Cricetulus griseus: one gene and its partners. The protein of the gene in region 2 interacts with the protein of the main gene of each other region in a pairwise test. Links are inferred from orthologs where the notes say so. Each region holds a gene or a part of one and is shown on either strand. Other genes may lie near its edges. The genes, in order: Batf, Junb and Batf3.

Region 1 (4,284 bases), on a different chromosome or scaffold from region 2:
AGGTTTGAATATAGGCATAGGAAAAGGGAGCCTTTCTTCCCCACCTCACCCCTGCAGGTCTTGCCCAGCACTTACTCTTTCTTCCCATGTACATAACTCCACCACAGCAGAACCATCACAGCTGGCTCTCACAGCCCCACTGACGTGGGGTGAAGAGCCTAAGGCACAAGAGCACCATAAGAAGTCTGGGTACTCACCAAGTGCAGGGTGTCGGCTTTCTGTGTCTGCCTCTGTCGACTCTTCTGGGCAGCAATGCGGTTCTTCTCCCTCCTCTGAACTTTTCTTACATCGTCGGATGAGTCCTAACAAGCAGTGAAAGCAAGAACTAGGTAGGTCCATCCCTTTCTTCCAGTCAAAATGGGTTCTATCGTTTAACTGACTCCTTCCTTCCTTCCTTCGTTCCTTCGTTCCTTCCTGGTCCTCAGTTCCTTCTGTACCAACCATACTCTTATTTACAAAAAGCCTGCACCCAAAGACATTTCCTTCAGCATTCCCTGCTACCGGCCCTCAGGTTGCCCATGGCCTTCTTTTCATCAAAAGCTACATGAAGAAATAGCTACATCAAGGCTTCAGGAGGGCTGCTTTGGGAAGCCTCAGATAAGACAATGATATCTGTCCCATCACCTCTGCTCTCTCCAGAGCTATTCTACCCCCACATTCTCTATCTGGGGTGTGTGTGTGTGTGTGTGTGTGTGTGTGCGCCTGCCTTCTTGGTGTTCCTTTTGCTGTTTTCTTTTTTTCTTGAAAACTTTGTTGAGCATCCATTATGTGCCAATGTCTGTACAAGTGCTTTCAGAGATACTATGCTACAATCCCCCAGCTCTCTGAGCAGGTACAGTCATATCTATTTTACGCAGGATGAAGCTGAGGCTTGCCACGCTGGTCCTTGAGCTCATGGCCATCCATGGATATGACATCTCCTGGTGCTGATTCTAAAGCCTGAATCCCCTCTCCACCAGCAATTTTCTTGTGCTGCACCCTTAGGCAGAGGGCCCCACCCCAGATCTCTCTTTCCTTCATCCCCTTTATTGTGCAGCCATCTTGAGACCTTTCTAGTCCAGACCTTTGATGCCTGCTACAATGAGGGGCCATAAATAAGTCTATGAGTTGAGGTGGAAGCCACCTGCTTTAGAGAGCTACTAATGTGGACTTTGGAAGACAAAGCATGCTTTGGATGTAAGTAAGTCCTAAAGAAGATCAGGGAGGTTCATTCTAGCTTTGCAGGTCAGTGAAGACACTAAGAGAAGCCCTTCAGCAACTCCTACCTTGTCAGAGAGGTCACAAATCCTGGGGCCAGGCTCTGACCCTCTTCCCTCTTTATCCAAAACTTCCAGATCATTCTAGCAGGCAGACATTTGGTGAAATAGAGCAAGGAAGCACCCTTCTCATAATGCTGCAGGGGACGAGTTTACCATGGAACTCTGAGTAATTTCCTTCTTAAGAAGAGTATGGTACCATCTTCCACACAGTCTGAGCCACTCCAATACCATTGTGACCAAGGGACTGACTATTTTCCTGTAGAGGTCTTCACCGGTACGGCTTTTTGGTTAGGAGCTTACAGTAGGTGTAATAGCAGATGATGGCCTATGACAGATGTGGTAAGGGGTGGCTGCATATTTCTATTTTGGCTGCAGCATTTTGCAAGCCCCTGGGATATGTGTAAGGAAAGCACTCTGCCCTTGAGCGATATGCCCTGCCCTATATGTGTGCTAAGGAGAGGATGAAGTTTTTAAGTTACTGAGATGTAGAAAAGCTTAATCCAGTGGGTCTATGCTGGATGAGGAAGAGAGTTTTCTAGAGCAAGGGTGTCAAGAATGTGGTAGAGAGAGCTCCAGAAATTTCAAGGTGGGAAGGGCATCCCATCTGAGGCATCTCTCCTGCGCTGAAGCATCTAGGTTTGGCAATCAAGGCTCTAAGACTCCCAGAATCCTTCCCTCCGTCCCCGGCTTCCCAAAGATGATGTTAGCTTCTAGTTCAGGTCTCCAACAAACCTCCAGAGCCACTGCCTTCTTTCTCCTCTCTGGAAGCCTCAGGGAAAGACGCTGGCTGTGACTTCAGCCTCCCTCCCCACTGACTGTTGTAGTCACAGAGGCCGTCCCTGGGCCGGTAGATTAGTTATCCTTTCCTTCCTCCCTACCTTGCTTTGGCTTACTGTATTTCTCTTCCCTAACCTCGGTTCTGTCTGGCCCCTTGGCTCTTCCTGGAAAGCTACAGATCTAGGATTTGGGTGGAGTCCGCCAGCAGCCTACTGACAGATTCCTCTGCTAGCGGTATGAACCCTTCCTCTAAGTTCTGTGATATTCACCCTGACCCTTTCTTCCTAGAAAGTTTCACAGTGGGAACCTAAGTGTGGCCGAGATGAGGCACACTGCTAGGAACAGAGGAAGGGGGCTTGTGGCGGGATGAAGGCTTTGCCACTTGTACCTCCGAATAGCAAATACCACATCCAGACTCTGCTAGAGAGCACCCCGCCAAGTAGAGAGCTACTTCCTCCCCCCCCCAAAAGCTCCCCAGGCAGAACTGGGGAGTGTGGCCCTCTTCCACCACCCCAGGGTATTTAGAAGGCAGGGGATGTAGGGGTACCTGCTTGCCAGGGGGAGGAGAGCGGCTGAAGCTGGAGTCGCTGCTGTCGGAGCTGTGCGGCATGGCTGTAATCTTCCGGACTCTCCCACAACCGCCCAGATGCCCCTGGGCGATCTTCTCACTAGCTGGCTCCTCTTCCTGACTGCTAGGGGGCCACCGGCCCGCCACCTTCCACGGGTGTCTCCCTTGCTTGCCCGGCAGCCACCTCCGACGGCCCCCTGTGTCCTCCTGTCTCTGGGGTGCAGAGGGACTGCTCCCCAAAGGGACATCTCGCTTACTTTGGGGCTTGCGCACACGCTCTCTCTTGTGGTTTCTGGTAATTCAAGCTGGAAGTCACATGGGCGGAAACGTCAACAAGTTAGAAGGTAGTTCGAGAGAAAATACATATCTGGGAAAAGACCACAGAATTAGGTGAAAGAAAAAAAATACACAAAACCCCAGTTTCTTCCGGCAGTTTGAAAGGCAGAGCAAGCTCTCTTCAATTGATGGAGATAAAAGAGAAAAACAGCCAGGCAGGGAAAATCCCCAGCCAGAATTAGCAAGTCCTCTTCTGTCAACATGGCAGAGAGCGGGGAACAGCGGGAGAGAGTTTCCACCGGCACACGACTTGAGTTTTAAACACAAATAAAGCAACAAGACCGGGACCTCTTTCTGGGTTTCACCCGAAAGCAGCTGCCCACCCTGTTTTGGGTTGAGCCTTCCTCAGTCACCCACAGGACAGTGCGGGTGTTCTGGGGACAAAGGAGAAGGAGGGCACTGTCTTTTACAGACTGCCAAACAAGAAGTTGGGACTCTCTGAGAGTCACAGAGAGGCTCTGGAATGTATACCGTGTACACCCTGTCCCTTGCTTCCTAGAAAGTTTCACGGTGGGAGCATAAGTGTGGCAGAGTTGAGGCATACTGCTAGGAACAGAGGAAGGGGGCTTGTGGAGTTTACCATCACCTGTGCCTCTCAGCAGGGCTCTGACATTCTCCCAAGAAAAGGGATGCCTTCGGTGGAGAGGTTGACCTTCAGGAGTTCAAGATTGACCTTGAATCTTTAGGAGTCAGTCACCAGGTCAGAACCCAGCAAGGAGTGAATGTCAAAATGGGTGAGGGAAGTTCTGGACTTGTATTCAGATCAACAGTGATGAAAACCTACCTCCACCCCCACCTAAAACCTGCCCTGCCTACCTCTCAGGGTTACTGCAATGAGTGAGGAACAATTTGAATTGTAATGCCCCCATACCCTGTAAAGCATGCTATGGAGATGCTCATGCTTGTCATATGTGCCATGACAAAGCATGTTTGTAGTTTTCCTGAAGAATCCCATTCTCATCTTTGGTGATCTAAAACAGGTTTGGGGAAGAGAGATGGCTCAGCAGTCAATAGCACTGGCTGCTCTCCCAGAGGACTTGTGTTTTTCTATTCCCAGCACCCACGTGGGGGCTCACAACCATCTGTAGCTTCAGTTTTGGGGCCTCCAACTCCCTCTTCTGGCCTCCTCATGTACTAGGAAATGCACAGGGTACACACACACACACACATACACACACACACACACACACACACACACACACACACACACACGTGCAGGCAAAACATTTATACACATGAAAATAAAATGTCTTGCTATGTTCCCAGTGTGGCTCAAAGCCAAATGCTCCCTTTGCTTAATCTGAGGACTGACAGTATGTATGGTCCCAAAAGCATTTCAGGTTC
Region 2 (3,625 bases):
CCCGCCCCGCCGAGGCCGCAGTTGGGCTCCGCCAGGGTCAGGTCCCATGGAGGGGGCGTGGGCGCGGCGGGTCTCCGGCGCCAGCCTGTTGAGAGACGCTCGGGTGGCTCCCAGGGCCCAGGAGAGCGTAAGTCTCCCGCCGCGGGCACCCTGGACCCAGGCCTGGGGCTTTCCGCGCCCCGAGAGCCGCCCGCCCGGGAAAATCCCGGCCCCTTCCCGGCGCCGCGGCCCTGCCGGGCAGAGCTGGGGGAGGGGATTCCCGGAATCTGCCCGGAGACCGTGCTGGCGTCACTGAGCAGAATAGGCCCATATATGGGCATCGCTTCCGGCGCGTCAGCGGGGAAAGCCCCGACGCGCTGGGCTGGGCGGGGCTGCTTACACATTCCGCGTTTGGTCCCGGGCGGCTTCTTCCCGGCTGTGGCCCGCCTGCCCCGCGTCGGGTGCCGGGGCGCGGCGTGAGAGGTCTGCGTGCTTGCACTGGACCTTAAGTCACCTGAAAGGAGGGAGCTACGAAAGCGGACGACTGGGGGCATCCCGTTCTTCTCCCTCCACCCGCCCGGCTTGGAAGAAAAAAAAAGACCACAGAAATTAATAAAGACAATTTTTTTTACTTAAATAGATTCAATAAAAAGTCAAACACACACACACACACAAACACATCTTAAAATAGACTCTAGACACGAAGTGCGTGTTTCTTCTCCACAGTCCTGTGCAGAGGGGGAGGGCAGGGGGCGGAGGTCCCTCCCTAGTGTCCCGGCAGGCTGAGTACCAGGCGGCGGGGCCAGCTCCGCCGCGATAGCGTAGCCCCCTTCTCCCTCCCTGTTAAATACACAAATATATTATATTCAATATGAATCCGGTCTCTTCCCAGAAAAAAAAAAAAAACATACAAAATACGCTGGAAGGGGGGGCCATGTAAACGTCGAGGTGGAAGGACTGGGCGCAGGCGAGCGAGCCAGAGTCCAGTGTGTGCGCGGCGCTCCAGACCTCCGGGCCGGTGCCCATCGCCCGCCCCCCTCACCCCAGGGGGGGGCGGGCGTCCAGCCTTCCCGGCCGGGGTGTCCGTGCGGGGCGAGCGAGGGAGGCGCTCAGAAGGCGTGTCCTTTGACCCCCAGCAGCAGCTGGCAGCCGTTGCTGACGTGGGTCATGACCTTCTGCTTGAGCTGGGCCACTTGCTCCCGGAGAAGGCCGGCAGTACTCGACAGCCCCGCATTCTCAGCCTTGAGCGTCTTCACCTTGTCCTCCAGGCGCGCGATGCGCTCCAGCTTCCGCTTCCGGCATTTGGTGGCCGCCAGCCTGTTCCGCAGCCGCTTTCGCTCCACTTTGATGCGCTCCTGGTCTTCCATGTTGATAGGGGACACCGGCGGGGTGGCGTCGCGGCTGCGTGCCTCTGGTACGGTCTGCGGTTCCTCCTTAAAGGCGGAGGCGCCGCGACCCAAGCCCAGCTGTGCCGGGTGGCCGCCCGCAAAGGGTGGTGCGTGTGGGAGGTAGCTGATGGTGGCCGTCGGGTACGAGCTCCCAGTCCCGACGGCGGCCCCGGCGCCCCCAGAGGGTGCGGAGGCTGGGGAGTAACTGCTGAGGTTGGTATAGACGGGGGGCGGCTCTGGACCTGCGTAGACGCCCCCTGGCCCGGCCTGGGGACCCCCGCTGGCGCCCAGGGACACGTTGGGGGGCGTCACGTGGTTCATCTTGTGCAGGTCGTCCAGGGCTTTGACAAAGCCGTCCGCGAAGCCCTCCTGCTCCTCGGTGACGCCGCCCCCTGTGCCTCCACTGCTGCCACCCCCACGGGGGTAAAAGTACTGTCCCGGAGGCGTGGGCGTCGTCGTGATCACGCCGTTGCTGTTGGGGACGATCAAACGCTCCAGTTCCGTGGAGGCGAGCTTCAGAGACGCGCCTGTGTCTGATCCCTGACCCGAAAAGTAGCTGCCTGCTGCCCCGCTGCCCTCTGGGCCCGGGCCGCGCGCTCCCGGGCCCTTGAGACCCCGGTAGGGATCCGTCAGGTTGAGTGCCAAGGTGGGTTTCAGGAGTTTGTAGTCGTGGAGAGACAGGCTGCCAGGGGTCCGACCGTATCCCGCCGCTGCGTATGAGTCGTCGTGATAGAAAGGCTGTTCCATTTTCGTGCACATCCGGGCGGTCTGGGAAAGGTCCCCCTGAAGGGCCGCCCCAGGCCTCGCTGCTGCGAGCGGCGAGCTGTCCTCGGCTGCGGCGGGACCCGGTGTCCGGTCGCGCGTCCTCGGGAACTGGAGACCGCCGGCGGCGGCCGGTTGGCAGCTGTGCGTAAAAGCGTTGCCGGGCTTCCAGACCTCGTCTCTGCCTCTGTGGTGCGCCCGCTTTCTCGGCGTCGCTTCCTTCAGTTCCCCGCTGCCTGCAGGATCCAAAACCGGCCCGGCCACCCTCAAGGTCCCCACCGCGCTGCCCCAGCCCCAAGCTTTTATACCGAGTTTGTCAGCTGCGGAAGTGCGCTCTGATTGGCCAACGCGGGAACCGGGCCCCCGCGGCCCCCTCCTAGAGCGTGGGGAAGGGGAGGAGGCGGCTCGCGTCACTGTCAGGAAGCGCGTGTCCTTGTAAACAGCGGCCACGAGCCGGGTGGCTCTGCGCGGCTGCAGGGGGAGGGGCTGCAGCGATGGAGACGCCGAAGCAAAGGGATGTGGAGGGGCTGAGGCACACGGGTTAGGACTGCGGGAGTACACCTCGGTGACTATGAGAGCTTGGCACAGCAAGCAGGGAAGGGGGCGCCGCGGGATAAGCCGGAGAAGTCTCGAGAGACCCAGAGTGCCTGTAGCTGAGAACTGACAATATGCTAGAAGACCCCAAGCAAGCAGGAAAGGGAGGATCGGGAGGGATCTGTTAACATTTGACCCGGGGATTGACTGGAGGTCCCAGATACAAAGGGCTTGAAAGACTGGAATTGTCACAGGTTGGAGGAAGGGGCGCCTGTTGTGCAAGAACAGTAGGGTTCTAGAGGCCGTTGATGAGTCTGAGGGTTCTCCTATAGGCGGAAATGAGAAGGAAATGCGGGGAGGGCGACGTAGATATGCAAAGGTGAGAAAGGGTCCTGGGTGCACTGAGGTAATACAAGAGGTGGAGGATGGGAACATGTCACTGTGGCCACCTGAAGAATTCGGATGTAGAGTTAGAAAGGTCAGGGCACAGCTTCCGAGCTTTGAGATCTGCTGGGGAGGATGATCCCAGAGACAAGGGACCTGTACGAATGGGGCTGTACCTCGTGGGTGGTCCTTAGGCACCTGCATACCCTGTACTCCAAGCCCAAAGTCCTCCCTTAGTCACTCTGGGCTCACCCGATACCCTGTCAGCTCTTGGAGAGCCGACGGGGCAGGATAGCTGGGGCGCGGTCGCCCAACCTCACTCCCTTCCTTAGAAACAGACTAGGGAAAGAGAGCCGAGGCAGGAAGTGTGGCAACAGCCCCGAGGGGAAAAGAGCCCGGCCCTGTCTCGTCATTCTGAGCCTACAGGACGGTGCACCCTGCCCTGGGCCCTGCCAAATTCTGCTCCTGGGAAGAGGAACCGGGGCAAGCGACCCCCGAGGAAGTCACAGCCCAGCTACAAACGCCTCGAGTCACTCTCTGCTCTCACCCATCTAGTAATGGTTCAGCCTGCAGCCTCC
Region 3 (3,204 bases), on a different chromosome or scaffold from region 2:
TATTGAAAAGAAGGAAAGAAACGAAAAACAAAAACAATGCCACCAGTGGGGAGTAATCCCAGTACTTAAAACTCTACAGCAGGGGAATTTCTGTGACTTCCAAGACAGCCTGGGCTACAGAGTAAGATCTTGTCTCAAAAAAATAAAATAAAATAAAATAAAAACAATAACAAAATCTGTGGCTGAAATGAGGTGAGGGGGGTCAGATAGAAGGCTGGGTAACACATGAGACAGGTGTGAGTCACAGCCAGCTCACCCACTAGGACCAAACTGGGTCAGAGACTTATTGGAAGCCTCGGTGGCAAAGGAAATGCCACTGCCTTGCCCTCTGCTACAGCCAAGGGTACTTCCCCATCTGCTATGGACATGGGGAGATGAAACGGAGGGGGACCTACTGCAGTGGCATGACCTTCCCAGAGGAGGGACGCTATGTGCTCTCCATCAGAAGAAGTTGGACAAAGAAAACTCGGTAACTATCTTTATTATCCAAATTCCAGACAGAAGATCCTGCCTCGGGGCAGGACCGGCTAGCTGCCAAGGTGAACGAGGAGTGACTCCTGCAGGTAGCTCTTGTGGGCCGCCTTCTGGATCCACCACTCTAGGGTTTGAGGACAGGTGCCCCCAGAGTGCATGATGAGCCCAGGCTGGCCCCAGAGCTCCTAGGAGGGGCACAGCCACAGGAACTCCTGGACACAGGTGTACAGGGAAACTCTTGGGTGTGCAAACCCAGGTTCTAAGCTGTATGAAAAAGGAGCGAGCTGTGGTGTCATCGGGGCAGACAGCCGGCCACAGGGTCTGGCCGAACCTGCACAAAGTTCATAGGGTACAGAAGCAGGGGGCACAACTTCTCATGTTCCTTGAGAGCCTCACTCAGGTGCCTCAGCTCCTCCTTCAGCTTTGAAATCTCCCTGCGCAGCACGGCATTCTCCTGCTCCAGGCACTCGTACTCCTGTCCAAGAGAGAGGAGAGGTAGAGACGGGCGGCGTGGAGGTGCATGACAGCGGTCCCGGCACTCGGGAGGTAGAGGCAGGAGGGTCAAAGAATTCAAGGCCAGCCTGGGCTACAGAACTCTTCCCTTTTGTTTTATTTTGAGACAGGGTCTCACTATGTATCCCAGGCTAGCCTGGTGCTCACTGTGTGTCTCAGGCAAGCCTGGTGCTCACCATGTATCCCAGGCTAGCCTGGTGCTCACTGTGTGTCTCAGGCAAGGTGCTCACCATGTATCCCAGGCTAGCCTGGTGCTCACTGTGTGTCTCAGATTAGTTTCAAGCTTGTCGTGTTCCTGTCCACTTCCTATGTACTAGGGTTTCAGATGTGCACCATGGTGTTTGGTCACCTTGGTGTTTACTGGCTTCAGAGCTCTGTCTCCCCAAAGGAATAAAATGGTCCTAACAGTACAGCTTTCCTTTTGAATCAATACTACTGGGGTATCATGAAACGTGTCTTATGAAGTGTCTGTAATTCAGGGAGTGGTGACAAACGTGTATGTACACCTGTGTTGATATACAAAGCATCAGCTTGCACCTCCATCGCTCCAAAGTGGTCCCTCCTACCATTTACACCAGCTCTCATCCCCAATACTGACCTGCTTTTTGAAGATCTCTGGTGGGTTCATGGCCACCCCAATACCAAGAGCAGTACCTGGAACAGTATGCCTTGGCTGCACTGATAAATGCATGGATGCAAGCCTTTGGCTGCACTGATAAATGCATGGATGCAAGCCTTTGGCTGCACTGATAAATGCATGGATGCAAGCCTTTGGCTGCACTGATAAATGCATGGATGCAAGCCTTTGGCTGCACTGATAAATGCATGGATGCAAGCCTTTGGCTGCACTGATAAATGCATGGATGCAAGCCTTTGGCTGCACTGATAGATGCATGGATGCATGCTGTCCCTTCCAGTACTCTTCTGCTGTGTCTACTGCATCAGGGTGAAGAGGCTCAGAACTGGAGGGGATCAAGAACTCTTGTCATCTCCCCCAAACTGTGGAGGAACTTCTCATATGCAGAGCTAGCTCACACATCCATCTTGGGCTGGGCACCCTTCCTTCAAGGGACAGTCCCTGCCATTTCTGTGATACTCTACTCTCTTTGTAGTGATCGAAAACTCCTCCACACCCACCCATTGAGCTGGGCTCAACCCAATGGAGCCACACAGGATGAACTCAGTACTTTGCAACCTCAGCTCTTGAAATGATGGGCGACACACTCATCCCTCCCCCTTGGATGCTCTCTGAGCCTAAATGTCTCGAGTCCTCTGAGTTTCTTGTGAAGGACTGCTGGCCCCTCTGCCCTTGTAGCCACCACCCCTGGCACACACTCCAAGTTGCCGGCTCGCTGAGATGTTACTCTCGGAATGCCGTCCTCCTTCATGCTGGACCTAAGCCACAGGAGGCGTCCCCGAGTGTGCAGAAAGCTAAGCTCCAAGTGCAGGAGCTGCTGTCCCCACTCAAGTGACAATTAGAGCCTGGAGACAGGGCTTCCTGCAACCACTGAATCCCACTGTGTTCATTTGAATCTCCTCCACGGAGTCAGCTCATGGATACTTGCTGTCACACAACCTCATGGCTTCCGGGAACTTGGTTAGTCCTTTGCCCTCTTAATCCAGGCCATAGTCCACAGCTCATCACCAGCCTCTCCAGGCTGGGGTGTCTTTCAGTCTTGCTGAGCGGTCACCTCCACTCATGCCTAGCCTGACTTGTTTGGTTAGACTGTGACCCAAGCGTACCGGGCACTTCTCAAATACTAATCATTTCTAATAAACATCAGCTAAGAAGTCTGGCCTTAGAGCCCCCGAGACACGCATGCATCCTCAGCTTAGCCTGTGCAGCTCCCCTCAACCCCATTGCTTTCCTTTTCTCTGTGAGCTTAGCATGAGATCACCACCTCCAGGAAGGCTTCCCTGGGATCACAGCACATACAGGTCTCACATTTCTCATTCTGAGTTCTCTACACAGACGTACACTGTTGGATCCCACTTATAGTAAGTAATGTCTCTCCCTAAAAGTCAGAGATGCCGAGCCCCAGGAACTTCTGCCACCCTCTTCTGGACTAGCTCGAGTGGTCCAACCTGTGTGCTAACAACCACTCAGCCTGTTGTCTGTTTTCTTCCCATCTCTAGAAACCTCCCTTTCGGGGCCCCAAGAGGGACTGCAGGCACGGGCCATCTCAGGAAGGCTTCTCCAGAATTCTCTCCAGGGCA

The links.
Region 1: the proteins of Junb (region 2) and Batf interact in binary tests that used the Homo sapiens proteins (3 or more experiments, as listed by UniProt). The link is inferred for Cricetulus griseus from reciprocal best matches to the Homo sapiens genes JUNB and BATF.
Region 3: the proteins of Junb (region 2) and Batf3 interact in binary tests that used the Homo sapiens proteins (3 or more experiments, as listed by UniProt). The link is inferred for Cricetulus griseus from reciprocal best matches to the Homo sapiens genes JUNB and BATF3.

Annotation. Positions count from the first base shown.
Region 1 is NC_048598.1:118,099,369-118,103,652, forward strand, and holds the start of Batf (basic leucine zipper transcriptional factor ATF-like), read right to left. Parts: upstream 2,902-4,284; 5' UTR 2,647-2,901; coding exon 2,584-2,646; intron 303-2,583; coding exon 198-302; intron 1-197. UniProt on the Homo sapiens protein: AP-1 family transcription factor that controls the differentiation of lineage-specific cells in the immune system: specifically mediates the differentiation of T-helper 17 cells (Th17), follicular T-helper cells (TfH), CD8(+) dendritic cells and class-switch recombination (CSR) in B-cells.
Region 2 is NC_048596.1:159,386,336-159,389,960, reverse strand, and holds Junb (transcription factor jun-B), read right to left. Parts: upstream 2,426-3,625; 5' UTR 2,127-2,425; coding exon 1,089-2,126; 3' UTR 589-1,088; downstream 1-588. UniProt on the Homo sapiens protein: Transcription factor involved in regulating gene activity following the primary growth factor response. Binds to the DNA sequence 5'-TGA[GC]TCA-3'.
Region 3 is NC_048598.1:3,915,775-3,918,978, forward strand, and holds the end of Batf3 (basic leucine zipper transcriptional factor ATF-like 3), read right to left. Parts: intron 950-3,204; coding exon 767-949; 3' UTR 554-766; downstream 1-553. UniProt on the Homo sapiens protein: AP-1 family transcription factor that controls the differentiation of CD8(+) thymic conventional dendritic cells in the immune system.